Anolis sagrei: one gene and its partner. The protein of the gene in region 1 interacts with the protein of each later gene in a biochemical or structural test. Links are inferred from orthologs where the notes say so. Each region holds a gene or a part of one and is shown on either strand. Other genes may lie near its edges. The genes, in order: FKBP4 and GLMN.

What was found.
Region 2: the proteins of FKBP4 (region 1) and GLMN form a complex in vitro, tested with the Homo sapiens proteins (2 studies listed by BioGRID). The link is inferred for Anolis sagrei from reciprocal best matches to the Homo sapiens genes FKBP4 and GLMN.

Annotation. Positions count from the first base shown.
Region 1 is NC_090025.1:104,713,968-104,725,393, reverse strand, and holds the start of FKBP4 (peptidyl-prolyl cis-trans isomerase FKBP4), read left to right. Parts: upstream 1-7,302; 5' UTR 7,303-7,503; coding exon 7,504-7,602; intron 7,603-11,426. Other genes in the region: CRMP1 (dihydropyrimidinase-related protein 1), read left to right, coding at 1-25. UniProt on the Homo sapiens protein: Immunophilin protein with PPIase and co-chaperone activities. Component of steroid receptors heterocomplexes through interaction with heat-shock protein 90 (HSP90).
Region 2 is NC_090024.1:150,128,213-150,139,408, forward strand, and holds the start of GLMN (glomulin), read left to right. Parts: upstream 1-7,124; 5' UTR 7,125-7,214; intron 7,215-11,196. Other genes in the region: putative RNA polymerase II subunit B1 CTD phosphatase RPAP2, read right to left, coding at 2,096-2,184, 3,162-3,227, 4,961-5,059, 6,036-6,150, 6,623-6,668, 7,014-7,071.

The DNA of each region.
Region 1 (11,426 bases):
CTCCAATATCACCAGTCTTGGATGAGCTGAAGTGGAAGTCTAGAAGCCAAGGATGAAGGAAGGGTCACAGAAAGAAGCTTAGTTCCCTTTTATGTCTGTGTTGTTGGCCTCACTGTTTTCTTTGGTCCTAAGAAGTGGGGAAATTACTTCTTTCCTTTAAAAAAAAGGTTTTGCATAGAAAGAGGCCATCATGGTGTAGTGTTTGCTTGGATTAATTGCCCCACAATTGTGCTTTCATATCTGTGTCACCTTAAAGCATGGTGCTTCCATTGTCCTGTTAGTAACTGTTTTAGCTATGTCTCGTGGTTCCTAATGGTTCTTTTCACCCTCTCCTCCCGACCCCCTAACTGTGCTTGACTAGTGGATGCATGATACTAATGCAAGTTGCAGTTTGTGAGCGAGTCTACTTTAGACTGATTGCCAACCATAAACTAGGCTTGATGCCAAGATACACAATTTCACTAAAGAAGGGAAACCATAGACTTTTAAAAAATGCGATAGAATAGGTCAGACTGCTTTCTGTTAATGTAATTCTTAAATTTATTACTGACACAAATAAAAAGCAGTGTTAAAAGCTTCACCAGAAGAAGGCCTAGTGTCCGTGATACACTTTAGTACATTCCAAGTTTGCGTATTTATTTGTTTTTAGGAAGAATGATAATTTAAAAAACTCGGAGTGGATTTTCACATTTGGGCAGTAGTGTTCACTTTTGCATGAATTTTTGGTACTTCCAAACAATTCCAATTGTTGGATTTTTAAAGTTTTTGTACAAAGTTTTATTTCTCCTTTAAAAATCACGTTCTACTTATAATGTATCAAACTACTAGTTGTGGTTCTTTTTTTATTTTGAGGCGTGTGAAATAAAAGAAAATGAAACAACTATTTTCCTTCTTTTCTTCACAATCAAGATTGTTATTTGATGTCTTTCATATACATATTACTAAAAGGTATGGGGTTTTTAGGAAAGGTAAAAATAGAGCTGGACCTTAGGGAAGGCTGAGCGAAGGAAGATCGATGCTTTTGAGCTGTGGTGTTGGAGGAAAGTGTTGAGAGTGCCTTGGACTGCGAGAAGATCCAACCAGTCCATCCTCCAGGAAATAAAGCCCGGCTGCTCACTGGAGGGAAAGATACTAGAGACAAAGTTGAAGTACTTTGGCCACATCATGAGGAGACAGGAAAGCCTAGAGAAGACAATTATGCTGGGGAAAGTGGAAGGCAAAAGGAAGAGGGGCCGACCAAGGGCAAGATGGATGGATGGCATCCTTGAAGTGACTGGACTGACCTTGAGGGAGCTGAGGGTGGTAACAGCCGACAGGGAGCTCTGGCGTGGGCTGGTCCATGAGGTCACGAAGAGTCGGAGACGACTAAACGAATGAACAACAAAAATACAGCAAAACTTACAGAAATATGTATTCACAAGCTAACTGAGAGTTATGTAGACAATTGTCAGAAAATGTAGGAAGGAATTTCTTCAGCCAAGTAGGGTTACCTGAAGATGAAAACCTGAGGACACACCTAGTTAGCTGGCAACCTACTGAAAGAACAATGAGTAAAATCAAGTATATAATTGAATTACCTTAATGTTAAACACTGTTGCTTCAATGCATTAGTATAGAATATATGTTCCCATTTAATCTATATAAATAAATATGTAATGTTTGTTTGTGGGATTAACAGAACTCAAAAACCACTGGACGAATTGACACCAAATTTGGACACAAGACACCTAGCAATCCAATGTATGTCCTTCACTCAAAAAAATTGATTTTGTCATTTGAGAGTTGTAGTTGCTGGGATTTATAGTTCATCTACAATCAAAGAGCATTCTGAACCCCACCAACAATGGAATTGAACCAAACTTGGCACACAGTTCTCCCATGACCAACAGAAAATACCGGAAGGGTTTGGTGGGCAGTGTCCATTGGTTTTGGAGTTGTAGTTCACCTACATCCAGAGATCACTGTGGACACAAACAATGATGGATCTGGACCAAACTCTACACGAATACTCAATATGCCCAAATGTGAACACTGGTGGAGTTTGGGGAAAATAGAATCTTGACATTTGGGAGTTATTGTTGCTAGGATGTATAGTTCACCTACAATCACAGAGCATTCTGAACCCCACCAACGATAGAATTGGGCCAAACCACCCACACAGAACCCCCATGTGGGCCACAGCAACGCGTGGCGGGGACGGCTAGTGCAGCATAAATCCATATACAAATACAAGGGTCTCAAGTGAAAGATAGATAATATCAAACACATACAAGCATGCTGTATGAAGTGAAGGTAACTAAGGTAAATGATTATCTGGGCAGAAGTGGTAACCCTTTGGAGCACCTTCCTAACTGCCACTGTGCAGCTACCAAATCATGCGCAGATGCAGTAGGTTAGGACACTCTATAGCACAGTGTTAGAAAGTCATCAGTAGTTTTTCATTTGGTTGGTGGTTCCTTAGGAGTCTTGAGTAGTACAGTGTGCTGGGCCCTCTTATCAAGGCTGCCAAAGAAAAAGTGGAGAGGAGACATGACTGCTATGTTGAAATATGTGAAAGGCTGTCATAAGGAAGTGGGCACAGACTCAATGGAGCAATGGGTTCAAATGAAAGGAAAGAAGATTCCACATGAAGAACATTCGGAAGAATTTTCTCATTGTAAGCGCTGCTCAACAGTGAAACGTACTGCTTCGGAGTGTGGTGGAAGTTCTTTCCTTGGTGACTTTTAAGCAGAGGCTGCCTGATCATTTGTCAGGGGTGCTTTGATTGTGTTTTTCCTGCATGATAGGGAGTTGGACCGGACAGTCTGTGACTGTCATAAGGAAGAAGGAGCAGGCTTGTTTTCTGTAGCCCTAGAGACTAGTCCTATATCCCAGGATCTGATCCCAGGTTTTGTTTATCCCAGATTATCTGGCATTTATCTGGGATACACAAAATTTCAGTGTTTTGTTGACATCTCATGCCAGATCAGGAGACACCGGCCTGAAAAGTCATCTTTGGGGGGTGGGATTCAATACTTCCCAAGAAAAAAATCTGGTGATGCGCCTGCTTGTACAGGTGGGATTCAGCCCTCATGGCTGAGTGATTGCAACAGATTCAACCCTAATGTGGCTGGTCAGGAGAGGAAACCTCTTCTGTTCCATTGTTTCTTTGGCAGGGCTTGGATTAGATCAGTGGTTCCCAACTTTTTTTTTTAACCAGGGACCACTCTCCAAAATTAGTACCAAAAGGGTTACAAATTGGTTTTTGAGCAACTTTAGATTTGTTTTGGTTATTTGGGGTGCTAATTCAGAAAATGGCATTGGATAGACCACATCAGCTCTAGTTTCTGATACAGAACATAGGCCATCCTATTGCCATCTGCTTGCCCACAGAAAACGATATTTAATAATTTAGAGCTGATATGGTAGTCAGGTCTTTCGTGGGTAGTCAGCCTCTCTGGTTGTTTCGGTGTTATGAGAGGGTTTTGCAAGGTCAGTCACTCTCGTTGCCACATGATTTTGAGGCAATGGTATAGAAAAGGTGAAACAGCAGACTGTATTTTTGTTCTTGTGGACCACTGGTGGTCCACGGACCACAGGTTGGGAACCCCTGGATTAGATAGACCAGTGGAAGACAGCTCAGTTTCTACCTGAAATCCAGGTTAGTTCCCCCTCCCCCCCTTACACACACATACACGAGCGCCTTAGGCTTTGCCTGCCAGCTGCCACCAACTTAGTCACTTCCACTATGGGCAAAAGTATGATAGCTGGGACCTAATGCTGAGACAGCGCAGCGAGTGAGAGATGCAGAGTCGTGGCAAGATAGTTCACCAGAAAGGGATTTGGGGGGGGGGGGGGGGGACAAACAGCCAAGCATAGTGCTTAAGGCTATCCGGAAATCATAAGCAAACACGTTCAAATACTTAATGTCTTCGCTTCTCTAATTCTGACCCACGTCACGCAACCAGCATTGGGTCCTAGCTATCATACTTATATCACATTATGCTACCTATTGCTGCTATTGCAATGCAACTTGGTAGAAAGGTAGGTAATGACAGTGCAAATAATGAAAATAATGAAAATTTGCTTGAGACAGTGCTTGCAGTTCTGGAGGGGCTCTAATTTTTGCTTCTCATAGACTTGGCCTGAGGGTCATAGAATCATAGAGTTGCATTCAAAGTACCCCTGACAGATGGCCATCCAGCCTCTGTTTACAAGCTTCCCAAGAAGGATCCTCCACCACACTCCGGGGCAGAGAGTTCCACTGCTGAACGGCTCTCACAGTCAGGAAGTTTTTCTTAATGTTCAGGTGGGATCTCCTTTCTTGTAGTTTGAAGCCATTGAAAGTGATGGTTTCTAATATATGTCATTTCTTTATGCTTGTGGGTTAAAAATATTTGGTGTTGTTTCTTTGTCAGTGTTGATGAGGAGATTGTCAGGTTTGCCTACTCTGGAACATACAACATAGAATTGTCCTTCTTTAGAGGTCCCTCTCAAATCTATGATGATATATCTGTGTGTATGTGAATCAGGGCCATAGCCAGAAAAAATTTTTGGGGAGGGTTGAAAATTTCGGGGGGGGGGGGGGTTGAAAATTTGGGGGGGGGAATTGAAACCTGCCTCCTAGCTCACGCTGAAGCAAAGAACACAGCAGGGGGCAGAGCAGCCTTCAATAGCCTGCAGCTCTGCCCCTGTCAACCACTTCCACCTAGTCTGGCCTCCTTAATGAGAGCATTCAAACCCCCCCCCCCCCGAACTTTGTTGCTTCGCTACATCAGCTATTGCTGCAAGTAATGACAGTGTGAATAAATTGTCAATATTTGCTTGAGATAGTGCTTGCAGTTCTGGAGGGACTCTTATTTTTTTGCGTCTCATAGACTTAGCATGGGGATTTGGTTAACCAGTTAAAATTCATAAGTAAACCAGGTTTTTTTTTTAACCTGAAAAATTTCGGGGGTGGGGTTGAACCCCTAACTCCCCCTCCCGGCTACAGGCCTGATGTGAATCATATATCTATCTATCTATCTATCTATCTATCTATCTACCTATGGCTGGGTGGCTCTTTGTAAGGAGGGCTTTGATTATGTTTTCTTGCCCTTGTGAAGGGAGTTGGACTGGATGGCCTTAAGTATTTTCTGTTGGTCATGGGGGTTCTGTGTGGGAAGTTTGACACAATTATGTCGTTGGGGTTCAGAATGCTCTTTGATTGTATAAATCCCAGTAACTACAACTCCCAAATGTCAAGGTCTATTTCCCCCAAAACTCCACCTGTATTCATATTTGGGCATATAGAGTATTTGCTGAATGGCTCTCACAATCAGGAAATTCTTCCTAATGTTCAGATGGAATCTCCTTTCTTGTAGTTTGAAGTCTCCAGGGCAGCAGAACACAAGCTTGCTCCCTCCTCCCTATGAGGAGATCCCACCTGAACATGAGGAAGAACTTCCTGACTGTGAGAGCCGTTCAGCTGTGGAACTCTCTGCCCTGGAGTGTGGTGGAGGCTCCTTCTTTGGAAGCTTTTAAACAGAGGCTGGATGGCCATCTGTCAGGGGTGATTTGAATGCAATATTCCTGCTTCTTGGCAGGGGGTTGGACTGGATGGCCCATGAGGTCTCTTCCAACTCTTTGATTCTATGATTCTATTCTATGACTTCCTCTCGCGTTTATACATGGTCATCATGTCTCCTGCCAGAAGGGACAGAGTGTTTCATCTATGCTGATGATCATGCCATTACTGCTCAAGCAGAGAGCTTTGAGATGGTAGAACAGAAGCTTTCCGAAGCTCTAGGTGCTCTTACTGCCTACTACAGGGAAAACCAGCTGATCCCCAACCCATCCAAAACACAGACATCCCGAGCTCTGAAGATCGCCTGGGAAGGAATCCCACTGGAGCATTGCAGCACACCCAAATACCTGGAAGTCACTCTGGGCCGTGCTCTTACCAACAAGAAGCACTGCCTGAACATCAAGCAAAAAGTGGGTGCTAGAAACAATATCATACGAAAGCTGACTGGCACAACCTGGGGATCACAACCAGATACAGTGAAGACATCTGCCCTTGCGCTGTGCTACTCTGCTGCTGAGTATGCATTGCCAGTGTGGAACACATCTCACCACACTAAAACAGTGGATGTGGCTCTTAATGAAACATGCCGCATTATCACAGGGTGTCTGCGCCCTACACCACTGGAGAAATTACACTGCTTAGCTGGTATTGCACCACCTGACATCTGCCGGGAAGTAGCAGCCAATAGTGAAAGGACCAAGGCAGAGACATCTCCAGCTCACCCCTGTTTGGGTATCAGCCAGCACGTCAATGACTTAAATCAAGAAATAGTTTTCTAAGATCTACAGAGACACTCGCTGGAACACCTCAGCAAGCAAGAGTCCAAAACTGGCAGGCTCAAACCCAGCACCTCAATCAATGGCTGATACCAAATGAGAGATTCCCCCCAGGGCACACAGAGGACTGAGCAACTTGGAAGGCGCTGAACAGACTGCGCTCTAGCACCACAAGATGCAGAGCCAACCTTCAGAAATGGGGCTACAAAGTGGAATCCTCGACATGCGAGTGTGGAGAGGAGCAAACCACTGATCACCTGCTGCAATGCACCCTGAGCCCTGCCACATGCACAAGGGAGGACCTTCTTGCAGCAACACCAGAAGCACTCCAAGTGGGCAGATACTAGTCAAAGGACATTTAATCAACTACCAAGCTTGCAAACTTTGTGTTTTGTCTGTTTGTTTTGTTCTGTTAGAAATGTAATACAATGGTATGGTTGCTGATGACACGATAAATAAATAAAAATAGGGCAGCAGAACACAAGCTTGCTCCCTCCTCCCTATGATAACCTCTCACGTATTTATACATGGTCATCATGTCTCCTCTCAGCCTTCTCTTCTTCAGGCTAAACATGCCCAGCTCTTTAAGCCGCTCCTCATAGGGTTTGTTCTCCAGATTTGGTTAACCAGTTAAAATTCATTCGAAGCCCTAATCCGCCCCCCTGACTACAGGCTTGCATACCAGGCCCTTGTTCCTGAGGCCACGCCCCCACCAGGCTCTCATGGTGCTTCAACAGTGTTGTCCTCCTGGCGCGGGCCCCCACGTGGCCAAGAGACAGGCATGGGCTGACTTAAACAGCGCGGGAATCCACGCAAAGAGCGCTGCTTTTGGGCCTGCTTCACTGGAGGAGACGAGGGAGCGAGCGCGAAGCGGGCTGGCCTTCCCCTCCTCTCTTCTGGAACCTTCTCGCTGGCTGACTGACTGACTCGGAGGAGGTCCGTCTGCCGGCGGCGGCGCTGTGGAGGTTGAGGGGGCGGGACTTCCGGCGCCCAGCGGCGGAAACGGGCCCGCTTCGTCGACTGCGGAGGGGCCGCGCGCCAGGCAGGCAGGCAGGCAGGCAAGTAGTCAGGCTCGGCGCTGAGGAGCGAGTAGCCAGGCCTCGCCTCTGGACCCTCTGCCTCGAGGAAGAAGGGAAGACAGACGGAGGGAGGGAGACCCGAAGGGACTGCGTTGCCGCCATCATGACCGCCGAGGAAGGCAAGGCCGAGGAGATGAGCGCCGCGCCGGAGGGAGAGGCGGGCACCGACATCACCCCCAAGAGCGACGGGGGCGTCCTCAAGGTAAAGAAGGCCTCAAGGAGGCTCTTCAAGGGGGCAGGAGGGCGGGGGGGATCCATTCCACGCGCCCTTTCTCAGCAGAGGAAGAGGAGCCATGCAAACGACTCCTAGCTAAGAAAGGGGGTGGGACAGCAGGAAGTGAGAGAAATCTCTCTCTAGGAAGGGAAATCCAATCCAGGGGAAAAGGTGCCTCCACTGAACCTTCACCGCCAATTCTTGTTTTCCATAACAATCCCATTCGCACAGTGAGGTGAAATCTTCTGAACAGGGGCGCAGGCAGCAAAACAACAGAGGTATTAACCCTTTCCTGGGCATAATCTATCTATCTATCTATCTATATAATCAAGGCATAATCTATCTATATATATAAATGCTTTGTGCATAATGAGTACCTTAAAAACAAAAGGACAGATGAACGAAATCACACCAAATTTGGCAACAAGACGTCTCACATCACAAGGAGTGAACATAGAATCATAGAATCAAGAGTTGGAAGAGATCTCATGGGCCATCCAGTCCAACCCCCTGCCAAGAAGCAGGAAAATTGCATTCAAATCGCCCCCGACAGATGGCCATCCAGCCTCTGTTTAAAAGCTTCCAAAGAAGGAGCCTCCACCACACTCTGGGGCAGAGAGTTCCACTGCTGAACGGCTCTCACAGTCAGGGAGTTCTTCCTCGTGTTCAGATGGAATCTCCTTTCCTGTAGTTTGAAGCCATTGTTCCGCGTCCTAGTCTCCAAGGAAGCAGAAAACAAGCTTGCTCCCTCCTCCCTGTGGCTTCCTCTCACATATTTATACATGGCTATCTTATCTCCTCTCAGCCTTCTCTTCAAAACATCACTCAAAACATTATGATTTTGTCATTTGGGAGTTGTCGTTATGCCATTTTGTCATAATGATTTGTCATTTGGGAGCTTTCTGAACTCCACCAATGCTGGAATTGAACCAAACGTAGCACACAGGATCCCATGACCAACATAGGCATTGATGAGCATTGACCTTGAGTTTGGGAGTTGTAGTTCACCTACATCCAGAGAGCATTGTTGAGTCAAATAATGATGGATCAGGACCAAACTTGGCACAAATACTCAATATGCTGAAATATAAACACAGATGGAAATTGGGGAAAATAGACCTTGACATTTGGGGGTTGTAGTCACTGGGATGCACAGTTCACCTACTATCAAAGAGCATTCTGAACCCCACAAACGGTAGAATCAGGACAAACTTCCCACACTGAACCCGCATGACAAACAGATATAGTATCATAGATTTGAAAGCGACCCTTAAAGAAGGACAATGATATCTTGCATGTTCCAGGGTGGGCAAACCAGACACTCTCCACATCAACACTGACAAAGAAACAGCAAGAAATACCATTTACCCACAAGCATAAAGAAATCACATATATTGGAAACCAACACTTTCTCGTTACTTTATTTTCTAGATCAATAGACTGGGCCACAGCAATGCGTGGCACGGGATAGCTAGTCTATCTATATATAAATGCTCTGTGCATAATGAGTACCTTAAAAACAAAAGAATAGATGAACGAAGTCACACCAAATTTGGCAACAAGACGTCTCACATCACAAAGAGTGAACATCACTCAAAACATAATGATTTTGTCATTTGGGAATTGTAGTTGCTGGGATGTATGGATCACTACAATCAAAGAGCATTCTGAACTCCACCAATGATGGAATTGAACCAAACGTAGCACACAGGATCCCATGACCAACATGGGCATTGATGGGCATTGACCTTGAGTTTGGGAGTTGTAGTTCACCTACATCCAGAGAGCATTGTGGAGTCAAATAATGATGGACCAGGACCAAACTTGGCACAAATACTCAATATGCCCAAATATAAACACAGATGGAAATTGGGGGAAATAGACCTTGACATTTGAGAGTTGGAATTTATAGTTCATCTACAACCAGGGAGCAGGGGAACTATAAATCCCATTAATCTACAACCAGGGAGCAGAAGCCCCTGGTGGCGCAGTGGGTTAAACCCCTGTGCCGCAGGGCTGAAGACCAACAGGTCGCAGGTTCGAATCTGGGGAGAGGCGGATGAGCTCCCTCTTTCAACTCCAGCTCCTCATGCGGGGACATGAGAGAAGCCTCCCACAAGGATGATAAAAACATCAAATCATCCGGGCGTCCCCTGGGAAACATCCTTGCAGACGGCCAATTCTCTCCAGAAGCGACTTGCAGTTTCTCAAGTCGCTCCTGACATGACAAGTAAATAAATAAATCAGGGAGCATTCTGAACCCCACTGACGACAGAACTGGGGCAAACTTCCCACACAGCCCCTATGACCAACAGAAAATACTGGGTTTTCTAGGTCTTTGGTGACTCTTCTGACACCACCCTGGTGACCTCCCCCTCCTCCCGGGGTCTTGACTTCCCAGCTTGTGAAATGCTGCCTTAAGGCCATCCAGTCCAACTCCCTTCACCAGGGCAAGAAAACATAATCAAAGTCCTTCTGATAAAGGGCCATCCAGCCATTCACACACACATATATGTATATGACAGATGCAGTATCATCGATTTGAAAGGGACCCCTACAGAAGGACAATTATATGTTGCATGTTCCAGAGTAGGTAAACCAGACCATCTCCGCATCAACATTGGCATGAAACAGCAAGAAGTGCTGTTTACTCACAATCATAAAAACATTACATATATTAGAAACCAACACTTTCTCATTACTTTATTTTCCAGATCACCAGAATGGGCCACAGCAATGCTTGGCAGGGGACCTCTAGTCTATCTATAATTTTGCATATTTGTAAACTGTCCTTTTCACACACACACACCCTGAAGGGGGACTCTGAACGGCTTCACAACAGGCATTCATTCAATGCCAAATGATAAAAGCAATTAAAACAGAAAAATTACTAAAACATTCATGCAGGTTTGAAATCGTAGTCCAGGTCAGCTTTTATCAGGCAACTGGTAAAATGAAAAAATGAAATGCAAACATACAGAATGGGGGACGCGTGGCTTGAGAGCAGTATGTGTGAAAAAGATCTTGGGGTCCTCGTGGACAACAAGTTAAACATGAGCCAAGAATGTGATGCGGCGGCAAAAAAAGCCAATGGGATTTTGGCCTGCATCAATAGGAGCATAGTGTCTAGGTCTAGGGAAGTCATGCTACTCCTCTATTCTGCCTTGGTTAGACCACACCTGAAATATTGTGTCCAAGTCTGGGCACCACAGTTGAAGGGAGATATTGACAAGTTGGAATGTGTCCAGAGGGGGGCAACTAAAATGATCAAGGGTCTGGAAAACAAGCCCTATGAGGAGCAGCTTAAGCCTGAAGAAGAGAAGGCTGAGAGGAGACATGATAGCCATGTATAAACATGTGAGGGGAAGTCACAGGGAGGAGGGAGCAAGCTTGTTTTCTGCTGCCCTGGAGACTAGGACGTGGAACAATGGCTTCAAACTACAAGAAAGGAGATTCCATCTGAACATTAGGAAGAACTTCCTGACTGAGAGCCGTTCAGCAATGGAACTCTCTGCCCCAGAGTGTGGTGGAGGCGCGTTCTTTGAAGCTTTTAAAAAGATGCTGGATGGCCATCTGTTGGGGGTGCTTTGAATGCAATTTTCCTGCTTCTTGGCAGGGGGTTGGACTGGATGGCCCATGAGGTCTCTTCCAACTCTATGATTCTAACTGGATATCAGTTTTTGCTTATATTCAGGTGTGCTGAATATAAATATATGAATATATGACATCTATGGCTGGAGTTACACTTTAAAATGCACCTGTTTCAACTTACATTACAAATTCAACTGAAGAACAAACCCACAGAAGCTATC
Region 2 (11,196 bases), on another chromosome or scaffold:
GCACACTGCTGAATAAAATCCAGCGCTATCTGCTTTGAACTGGAATATATGGCAGTGTGGACTCAGTTCAAAGCAGATAATAAATAAACACATCTGTTTTTTTATATGATTTTGATTGGGAAGAAGGGGATAAAAGAAGGGGCTTGAGGGTTGGCAGATGAGGGACGAGATTTTAAATCAGAACTGGAAGAAGTGAGGGGGATTAAGGTGGGTCGAAAGCATTTGCACATTTGTTTTCCACAGCAAGTCAATGCTTGTCCATGCCAAGTCATGTTAAACAACATCATTGTTTAAAATACCATGGGTCATTCCAAAGGCTTGGCAACACCCTTTTGGATCTAGCAGGCCATATGCAGTCTGTGGGCTGCACCTCACTCACCTACAATCTAAAACCTGAAATGAACCTCAGATACCCCACCAGGCTGAACAGGACAGTCAGAGAAACCATAATGGCAGAGCTGACAAGTTGATGGAGTACACTTATTGCCCTGTATCCCAGGATCTGATGTCAGATTATATGTTTATCCAAGTGGAGACTTATATAATCCAGTTCAAAACAGATAACCTGGGATCAGATCCTGGGATATACGGATAGTGTAGAGGGGGGTCTAAATTACATTCATAGAATCATGGAGTTGGAAGTGACCTCGTGGGCCATCCAATCCAACCCCCTGCCAAGAAGTGGGAAAATTCAATTCAAAGCACCCCCGAGAGATGGCCATCCAGCCTCTGTTTAAAAGCCTCCATAGAAGGAGCCTCCACCACATTCCGGGGCAGAGAGTTCCACTGCTGAACAGCTCTCACAGTCAGGAAGTTCTTCCTAATGTTCAGATGGAATATCCTTTCTTGTAGTTTCATTATTTACTGGTTACATACCACTTTTCTTCCAGTGAAATAAAGGGGGAGCACACTGCTGTGCTTCTCATTTTACCCTCAAAATCACTTAGATCATGCCCCTTCCACATGGCTATATAAAATTCCACATTATCTGGGTTATATGGCAGCATGGACTCAGATAACCCATTTCAAAACATATATTGTGGATTATCTGCTGTGATATCTGTGTTATATGGCTGTGTGGAAGGGCCCTCAGACAGAATTGTGTTTGAGTTGCTGAAGGTCACCCAGCGAATGTCATGTCTTGGTGAGACCTTGAACCTGGATTTTCATTGTCCAGACCCCACATATTAACTACTGCTCTACACTGGCTTTCTTGTATTTGGACATTCCTTGCAAGAGCCACAGTAGCTCACCACTGTCTAACTAATAATGCCATTGTTGGCTGTATCACTACTGTAGAACTAATTTTTTCCTGTAACCCTACGCGTCTTTCCAAAATATTACACTTTACTATAATTTCCTCACCAGAGTTATCTGTACACCATTTTTAAATGCCATGTAATCTTCAACTGATACAGGCAGACTAAAGCATGGGGAAATGAACCCTTCTACCACCAAACTTAGTAGGACAGCTTCTTTTCTTCCAAAGAGACTGAAATGTTCAAACAGCTGTAAAATAAGTCCTTCCCAAAAGAAGGCAGTATATGTTCAGAAGGATTTAAGAGTTAATCTTGATTAGGGCTGCAGTTTTTTGAGAGAGCAGGTGTATCATATTCAGAAGATTCAAGGTCAATAGACTGGCATTTTTCATTTTCAATTGCTGCCCATTTTTACTAGCAACACGGGACACCCTGATCCAGTAAAAAAGCAACTTCATGTGTTCTAAAGAAATAGGACGTCTTCACCTTTTTGAATTTGAGCAAGTCTAGGGCATCAAATTAAATACAAATACCATCACAACTGAAAAACAACACTTCAGCCTTTGTCAAAGAATATCACCTGAAACCAGAAATTGGAAAAGTTTTTTGGGACTATAATTTCCAGAATTTCAGCATGCGTACCAACTATAGCCAAAACACACACAAAAAAAGCCAAAACCAAAAACCTTAAAATAAGGTCTTTTTATGGCCTTGGAAACGACCCCCAAAACATTTTATTTCCCAGTACATATGTACATTGCTTTTTTTCTTCCACTGTGAACAGGAAAGAAAGAGTTTTAAGGATCACTTGTTTTATTACATAAATATTTAATTACCTTTCTTCATCTCGCAGCCACACTGGACTTTGGGAAATTTGACCTTCAAAGTATTTTGATGCTTTGTAACAGAAGTTGCTGCAAAAACACTGCCACACAAAAAAATTGCAAGTGTTATGTCCTCATTTTAACAAAATAGATACAAACATGGTGTGAGCTAAAATCAATCATCCCAGGGCCCTTCTACACAGCCATATAATCCAGAATATCAAAACAGAAAATCCCACAATATCTGTTTTGAACTGGGTTATTTGAGTCCACACTGCCATATATTCCAGTTCAAAGCAGAAAAGGTGGGATTTTATTCAGCTATGTGGAAGGAGCCAAAGTTTTTTTTTGTAATGAAACAAATAATACATTAGATATTAATTTGTAAAGAATGAAAGACCAGTTTCTGAACACAGAAATCCACTAATCATAACAAGAGGAAAGGAAAAAGCTTTTTTTTGTAGGAATAAGCAAATTATTCTAGGTTCAGTATGCACAGTAAATATGAGCCAAATGAGACAACCTGTAGGAAAATATTTTTCCTGAATGTTGTTGGTTTTCTCACAGATACATGACTAGTTGTTGTTTCATCCAGGAACCTCTTGCAGGCTTCCAAACATATTTGATGGGCACTGTGCCTCTCTTTTCCATCTTGTAACTCCATAATGGCTGCTGTAGCCACAAGGAAGTGACGACTGGTTCTAATTTCTCTCTTCCTTTTGTCCATTTCAGTATGTATTTGGAATGCTAGGAAATGTAGTTTCTCTATGGGCTGTGGATGTCACTGGAGACCTTGATTAATGATAATTTACCAGTGTTCCAGGCGCAAGGAGTCTGGATGGCAATTCCACAAACTACAGTGCACTAAGGGCTTTCTTTTGCACACTTTTGCGGGATCTTGTTGTCTGGCTGCTGCGGCTTGAAGCTAACAACATGAAATGGTCAGTCTAGATAGGGCCACAGAGACCATACACATGTCTGCCATTTCATCCCCAGAATCTTTTGAAATCCAGAGCCAATGTCTTGTAACAGTGCAATAATATCAAGTGACAACCATAGGAATAATGTTTAAACATACCTTTCTTTCAGTAATATCATAAACTTTGTTTGTTTTTGTCGAAATTTTGTACTTTTGCTTTGGCACCTTAAAAGACACAAAGACAAACACAGTTTGGCAAATTTGTTAATGCCACCTGAAGCTTTAATTTTAAAAATCCCAAGTTGGCATTGCTTATTATGCCACAACATTATCTTTAACCACATATCTCAAGCTGACAAGAAGCCTGAGAATTTTGATTTACATTGTGAAGATATTTGTATTTTGAGGGGACACAATTTTAGCCCACAAGACCTTAGCCTATAGTTAAAATAGCATTTTTCTAGGTTTACATCTCTTCAGACAGATATAATAATACAATAACAACAACAATAATAATACTTTATTTATAACCTGCCACCATCTCCCATAAGGACTCGGTGCAGCTTACAAAACAGCACATAAAGATGCCATACACAAAATACATCATGCATAAAATAAAATACCTCAACATGAAAACAATAATAGATTACATAAAGCAAGTATATAAATTGGATAAAACAAGCTCTATTAAAATAGAATCAGTTAAAATATCCATGTAATCAATATAGCAGCCCAGCTGAATGCACAGAATGAAGATATAAAGTGCTAAGTGACTGGCAATCAGTTCTGATTACTGTCTAAAAATTATCAAATGCCTACTGGAAAAACAAGTTTTTAACTCTTTCCTAAAGTGCTGAAGTGTAGGGGCTTGTCTAAGATCCCAATAAAATGTGGGGGTCCGGGGAGGGGGGATCTTTAGAGCCGGGGAGCCACTACTGAGAAGGCCCTCTCCCTTGTCCCTTTCTCCATTGCCTTCCTGATTGCCTTTTTTTACAAGATATGACAGCCCTTTCCAAGGAATCCTCCTAAGTTGCATCAACTAAAACTGAATCACCCCTTTTGCTCTTGTGAAATGAGTCAAAGGGCCAGTCTGCAAGAAACAATACATTACAGTGTATTATTATGGATAAGGAGAGCCAATGGACCAGCAAACATGTAGCAAAACATTACAGTGTGTTATTATGTACGATGAGAGCCGATGGACCAGTATGCCTGTAACAATATATTACTGTTAATTATTATGTGCCAGAATATTGGCTTCTTTGGTGCCAAACTCTCCCTCTCCTCCTAGCTTGGCTGCAAGGAGAAAGGAAAGCTTAATCTCATTTTCTAAAGTTTGCCATAGTGCACAAAACCTACAATGTTTAATCTGAGCAATGATTTGTTGAAACTATCTTCTTAATCCTAAATCTGATGTTTGCTAATTTCAGTAAACCACAGTTAAGATTTAACACAATTTTTCCAGGTTAGAGAGAGAACTAAATTATGCAGAGCTTGATTTCCTCTCCTTGATCACATTGGATGAAAGCAGAGGCAGGACAAAGAGGTGGCAAGAACACTACATAGTTTTAACCCATGCCGGGGGCCAATATAGTATATACCAGTGGTTCTCAACCTGTGGGTTCCCAGATGTTTTGGCTTTCAACTTCCAGAAATCCTAACAGCTGGTAAACTGGCTGGGATTACTGGGAGTTGTAGGCCAAAACATCTGAGGACCCACAGGTTGAGAACCACTGGCATATACTATCAGATTCAAAACTGCGGATATCCAGGCTCACATCCTTACTCACAAAGCAACCCTGTAGACATTTTAAATCAGTTTTGAATTTGTAACACAGGAAGATAATGAAAATGGGCGAAAAAAGCAAGTACTGGATAATTTTCAGGAAGAAATGCATTTTAAATTTCAAAAAATTACAGAAAAAGAACCAACACATACACCACTCACAGACTCTTACATTCTGCAGCCTATTTCGACAGATGGGGTAGCCACACAGTTTGACGATAAACCGCTCTTCCACAACATCTTTATAGTGAGAAGGTGTAATGAACTTCCCCTGAAAAGAAATAAACAGATTTGCCTTGAAATGTGGGTTTTCATGGATGAGCAGGGATACAAAGAAGCGGTGTGTAAAACAGTAGAAAGGAAGATTAGGAGGGGAGTCATTTGGGTTCGACAAAACAAGTTCAATTTCTGTTTTGGGAAGAATCTTCATGAAAACAGAATGGGTGGACGGACTCAAAATTGGAAACAAAAACAGAACAGATTTCTCCTGTTTCACACATCTCTAATTTACAAACCTTGGACTACAGTTGTTTTAGTCAATGCTCAAGCCTCTACCTCACGCTGAGTCTCCCTTTGGAATATGTCCTATAGGAAATGGGAAACCTTGCAGTCCTCCAAATGCTGTGAATTAAACTTTTAGAAGCACGAACCAGCCTAGACAATAGTGGGAAATGCTGACAACAGCAGCCCAAGGTCATTGAGAAGAGGACTTCTTAAACTTTTCCACTTGTGACACCTTTTGGCCCAATACAGTTTTACACAGCCCTGGGTAGATAAAACTGGTATAAAAATCAAACATTTCCTTTTGCAGAGTCTGCTGTAAATGCTGCACAACAGATTCATGTACATGTCTAAAACAGCAACTAGGTGACATTCAGAAAATGTTTACATTTGCCAATTTTTTCAGGACCCCCACATTGAGCTATGGGGACCTAGTTTGGAGACCCCAGTTTAAGAAGCAGTGATTGAGAGGGTTATATGATTCCCAGATAATTCACATTATCTGCTTTGAACTGGATTACATGAATCTACACTGCCAGATAATCCAGTTCAAATCAGATAATCTGGATTTTATATGGCAGTGTAGAAGGGGCCATAGACTGCCAAGCTAACACACATCTATGGTGCCTCTCCAAAGATTGATAAACTATCTTTGGAAAGGAACCATTAACTGCATAACAAGCTATAGGAGACCTTGACACATTTAAACTAAATATTTTATATAAATCTGCAACAAGACGACATACACAATTTGTGAGGAATTCTTCAGTGATATCGTCTTCTAAGAGGCGTTCAACCACCTTCAAGGCTTTTCGCTCATGCGCAATCTTCTTTCGAATAGCAGCTTCAAGTGCTGCTTTCCTACAAGGGGAAAAAATAGTGGTGTGACCCACATTTTGGCAATTCATATGAAGTTGCTTAAGAAACAAGTGGGTACGAACAGATCCAGCGCAAAACATTTGATGCCTGAAGCAAAGAACACAATGGCACCCACTTTTCATTTCAAACTGTGCCAGCTGGACTAAAGACCTGCCAGTCTTTAATAGGTTAAACAGGGCAGAATATGTGTCTCAAAGAGAAGGGAATATCAGAAAGTCATGAGAAACATCTAAAAGCCCTCAAATAAAAAGAAATACATTACAATGCATGCGCAAAACCACACACACATATATATAGATACCCAAATACACACACACAAAACACAAATACACAGATTTGGCCACAGCAATGTGTGGCAGGGGACAGCTAGTTGATTCATAAACCTTTTGAAGGATTTACAAAATAGATATAAACACATAATGCAACCAAACAGTTATTCTGAGAGACAGGATACCTTTGTGCAGCATCTTCATTTGTCAGGACACTGGGCTGTTTATTACCTAAGAGGAACAACCAAAAATACAGGGAGATGACAAACCACATGAAATCACATGATCAATTCAAGCTTTTGTAGGAACAGAGTGGGAACCCGCTGTTTGCTTAGGGAGAAACTTGCCCTTATAAAACTACAACTCCCACGATTCCATAGCACTGAGCCCTGGCAGTTCAACTATATTATTCCTACAGTAGTATAGGAATAATCACAGCTATAGAGCATCTCCCATCCCTAGAAAGCCACCCCCTTGGAAGATAGGATTGGTTTCGCCTCCACATATTGAGGAAGGGAGAAGGAACAGTCCATGTGATGAAAAGGGGGGGGGATAGATACAAACAGCTGCGTTTACCCGGGCGCCGGCGCTGCCTCCTGGCCTTGGAGCCGCTGCGGGTCCTCTCTTCCGCCATCGCTGCCGGGAAAGACCTCTAACCCCTCACTGCGCCTGCGTTGTTTGGGAAAGGGGCGTGGCTTCTCCCAAAGGGGCGTGGCCTGAGAATAGTCATGAGGCCGTGCTGGTAGACCGGTCTCTTTGGAAAGAGGGAAGGCGGAGGTAAGAGGAGGGAGTCTTGCTGCAGGTTGGGGTCACAGGCGGGAGGGCGCCAGGGAGGAGGGACAGCCCAGGTCTAAGGCATAGTAGTTTAGGAGGGATTCACTCTTTGTCTTTCGTTTCTAGGGTTCAGAGAGGCTCCCAAGTGAAGCCTGGAAAGGAGTTGCAGCCTTCTTTCACTTCCAAGGCTGGTGCAAGGGGAGTCTCCCTTCTCTGAAATGCTATGGGAGCCTGGGAGTTGTAGTTTGGAGGGAAAAATAAAGACCCTGTGAAACTACAACTCTCAGGATTCCATTGACAGGAAAGGCCTAAGGCCTTGTGAAACTACAATTCCCAGGATTTCTTTGGCAGGGAATGCTAAAGGCCTTGTGAAACTACAACTCCTATGATTCCTTTGACAGGGAAGTCTAAAGGCCTTGTGAAACTACAATTCCTAGGATTCATTTGGCAGGGACGGCCAAAGGCCTTGTGAAACTATAACTCCCAGGATTCATTTAGCAGGGAAAGCCAAAGGCCTTGTGCAACTATAACTCCTAGGATTCCTTTGGCAGGGAAGGCTAAAGGCCTTGTGAAACTATAACTCCCAGGATTCATTTAGCAGGGAATACCAAAGGCCTTGTGCAACTATAACTCCCAGGATTCCTTTGACAGGGAAGGCTAAAGGCCTTGTGAAACTATAACTCATAGGATTCATTTAGCAGGGAAGGCCAAAGGCCTTGTGAAACTATAACTCATAGGATTCCTTTGGCAGGGAAGGCTAAAGGCCTTGTGAAACTATAACTCCCAGGATTCATTTAGCAGGGAAGGCCAAAGGCTTTGCGAAACTACAACTCATAGGATTCATTTTTGCAGGGAAGGCTAAAGGCCTTGTGAAACTACAACTCCCAGGTTTCCATAGCATTGAGCCAGGGCAGTTACAGAGGTATCAAACTGCATTAATTATATAGTGTAGAAGCACCTGGGATGTATAGTCCCCCCCCCCCCCCAATGTACACACTTTTAACAGCTAATAATAGCTATGGAGATTATAGACTATAACGGAAACCTTTACCTTTATGGAGATTATTTGGATGTTAAATATATATGTTTATATTGAAGATGAAATGTTATACTAATTAGCTAAAGTTATAGATTCCATTTTAGAGTACGTTTACTTGTTCCTTGTGTGCCTCCCAATTCGTTTCAGACCTATGGAGAACCATTCACTGGGTTTGTACAGGAAGGTTTGTTCAGAAGTTATTTGCCTTGGTCTTCTGAGGCTGAGAGAGCATGACTTGCCCAAGGTTACCCAGAGGGTTTCTATGGCTGAGTGGGAATACGAACCCCGGTCTCAGAGTCATACTCCAATGCTGAAACCATAGAAGGAGTTCAAATTCATGTGCGAGCGCAGCCATGCAATGACCCCATGGTCAAAGCATAGAGTTGCACATTTCATTTGAGGTTTCACTACTAATTGTGCACCACATTGGAATCTTTGATCTTGTTAAGGATGTACTGGCAGTCCCCGAGTTACAAACATCTGACTTATAGACGACTCCTAGTTAAGAATGGGGGTGAGACAACAGGAAGTGAGAGAAATCTACTCCTAGGAAGGGAAATTCACTCCTGGAAGAGTTAGCATGGGGAAAACGTGTCTCCCCTGAAGCTTTATCACCAGTCCTTGTTTCCACAACAAGTCATATTTTTCACAATCCAATTCTCACAGGGACAGAAAGTGCTGTGAAATCTTCTGAACAGGGGAACAGACAGCAAAAGAAACACCATGGGCGTGTCAACCTTTCCCTATGCTAACCAAAGATAGGTAGATAGATATATATATCTCTGGAGTTGCACTTAATAAAATGTACCTGTTCTGACTTACATACAAATTCAACTTAAGAACAAACCTGCAGAACCTATCTTGTTTGTAACTTGGGGACTGTACACATTTTAATGCACCCTCCCCCTCTGTTATAAGCGGTTAAGGGTGTATACTTTTTATAGTTAAAGAGTAATTGCCCTTGAGCATGTGCAGAGTACTTTTTATCTATGTTGTATGGCAGTGGTTCTCAACCTGTGGGTCCCAGATGTTTTTGCCTCCTAACAGCTGGTAAACTGGGATTTCTGGGAGTTGTACGCCAAAACACCTGAGGACCCACAGGTTGAGGACCAATGTTGTATGGTCTCTGGTAGATTTGAACACTTTTTCAATCTCCTTCTAGCTACATAAATGGTCTTCCTTTAAGGAAACAATTAAAATGTTATTTATTGTGTCAGGAGCAACCAGACATTTGTATTACATTTTTAACAAAACAAGCAGACAAAACAGAAAGTTTGCAAGCTTGGTAGTTGATTAAATGTCCTTTGACCAGTATCTGGCCATTTGGAGTGCCTCTGGTGTTACCGCAAGGAGGTCCTCCATTGTGCTTGTGGCGGGGCTCAGGTTGCATTGCAGCAGGTGGTCAGTGGTTTGCTCTTCTCCACACTCGCATGCCGTGGATTCCACTTTGTAGCCCCATTTCTTAAGGTTGGCTCTGAATCTCGTGGTGCCAGAGCGCAGTCTGTTCAATGCTTTCCATGTTGCCCAGTTTTCTGTGTGCCCAGGGGGGAGTCTCTCATTTGGTATCTGCCATTGATTGAGGTTCTGGGTTGGAGCCTGCCACTTTTGGACTCTCACTTGCTGAGATGTTCCAGCGAGTGTCTCTGTAGATCTTAGAAAACTATTTCTTGATTTAAGTCGTTGACATGCTGACTGATACCCAAACAAAGGATTGGTCCTTTCACTATTGGTTGCTACTTCCCGGCGGATGTCAGGTGGTGCGATACCGGCTAGACAGTGTAATTTTTCCAGTGGTGTAGGGCGCAGACACCCTGTGATAATGCGGCATGTCTCATTAAGAGCCACATCCACTGTTTTAGTGTGGTGAGATGTGTTCCACACTGGGCATGCATACTCAGCAGCAGAGTAGCATAGCGCAAGGGGAGATGTCTTCACTGTGTCTGGTTGTGATCCCCAGCTTGTGCCAGTCAGTTTTCGTATGATATTGTTAATTGACAATTAAAATAATTTTTAAAGAAGGGGTTATGTTAGCCTGTTGTAGCATAACAAGAAGAAAAGCGAGGGAAAGGGTTGGGGGAAATCTAGCCACACTTTTTAAGATTAGTTTTTATTTTAGCATCCGTTTTTGTGGGTCAATGTCTACACAAAAAAGAAAGTTATAAACTAGAAATGTATCTTACAGGTGCTGCCAGATTCCTTTAATGTCCTGTTCAACTCCCTTTCCCCTGTTTTGCACGTTAAAGACCACTTGCTAGAGACTTTTTCTGGCCCCACAAAGCAGATAGCTTCCAAATACTACAATGTGCTCTTTGCTTCGCTTCCTCTTTGCCTGCTCTTACTTGGCTGTAACTTTACTTCTTTCTTGAATGGGATGAGAATAAGAAAATAAAAAATCTCCAAAAGGATTAATATGTAAAAGAAAACAATCTTCATGGTGGTGGGAATTGTAAATGTTGTGTATGTCCTAAAATAAAAAAAATATTAAAAAAATAAATTAATAGAAAGTTTATGTATACATCCTGGCTTTTAAAAGTCAGAGTATTTCAGAGCACTTTATTGCCCCTCAGCAGAACTGCTTCCTATAATATGCTTAATGGCCAGCTGTAAAGCTCTTAACTATACTTAATCAGAAGGTGTCCTTTTTAATTCTCATTAAACTAGGGTTGCCCTTTAAAACATTCTGGTAAATGGCAATGCAACACGTTTAGAGTATCTTGTTGAGTCCCACTTTCTGTTGTATTATAATTCAATAATATTTTGTCATTTAGGATTTTTGCAGTTCCCTTTTGGTACCTAAAGGTTTTGGCACAGATAATATAATCTGTTATTAAAACGATCTAATCCCTATTCTAGGAAATTCTTCACAATATATTTCATAGTACAGATACACATTGTGTAGTGTATAAGTTCATGGACTGGAAGATTTCAAATTTGATTTTAAGAGGT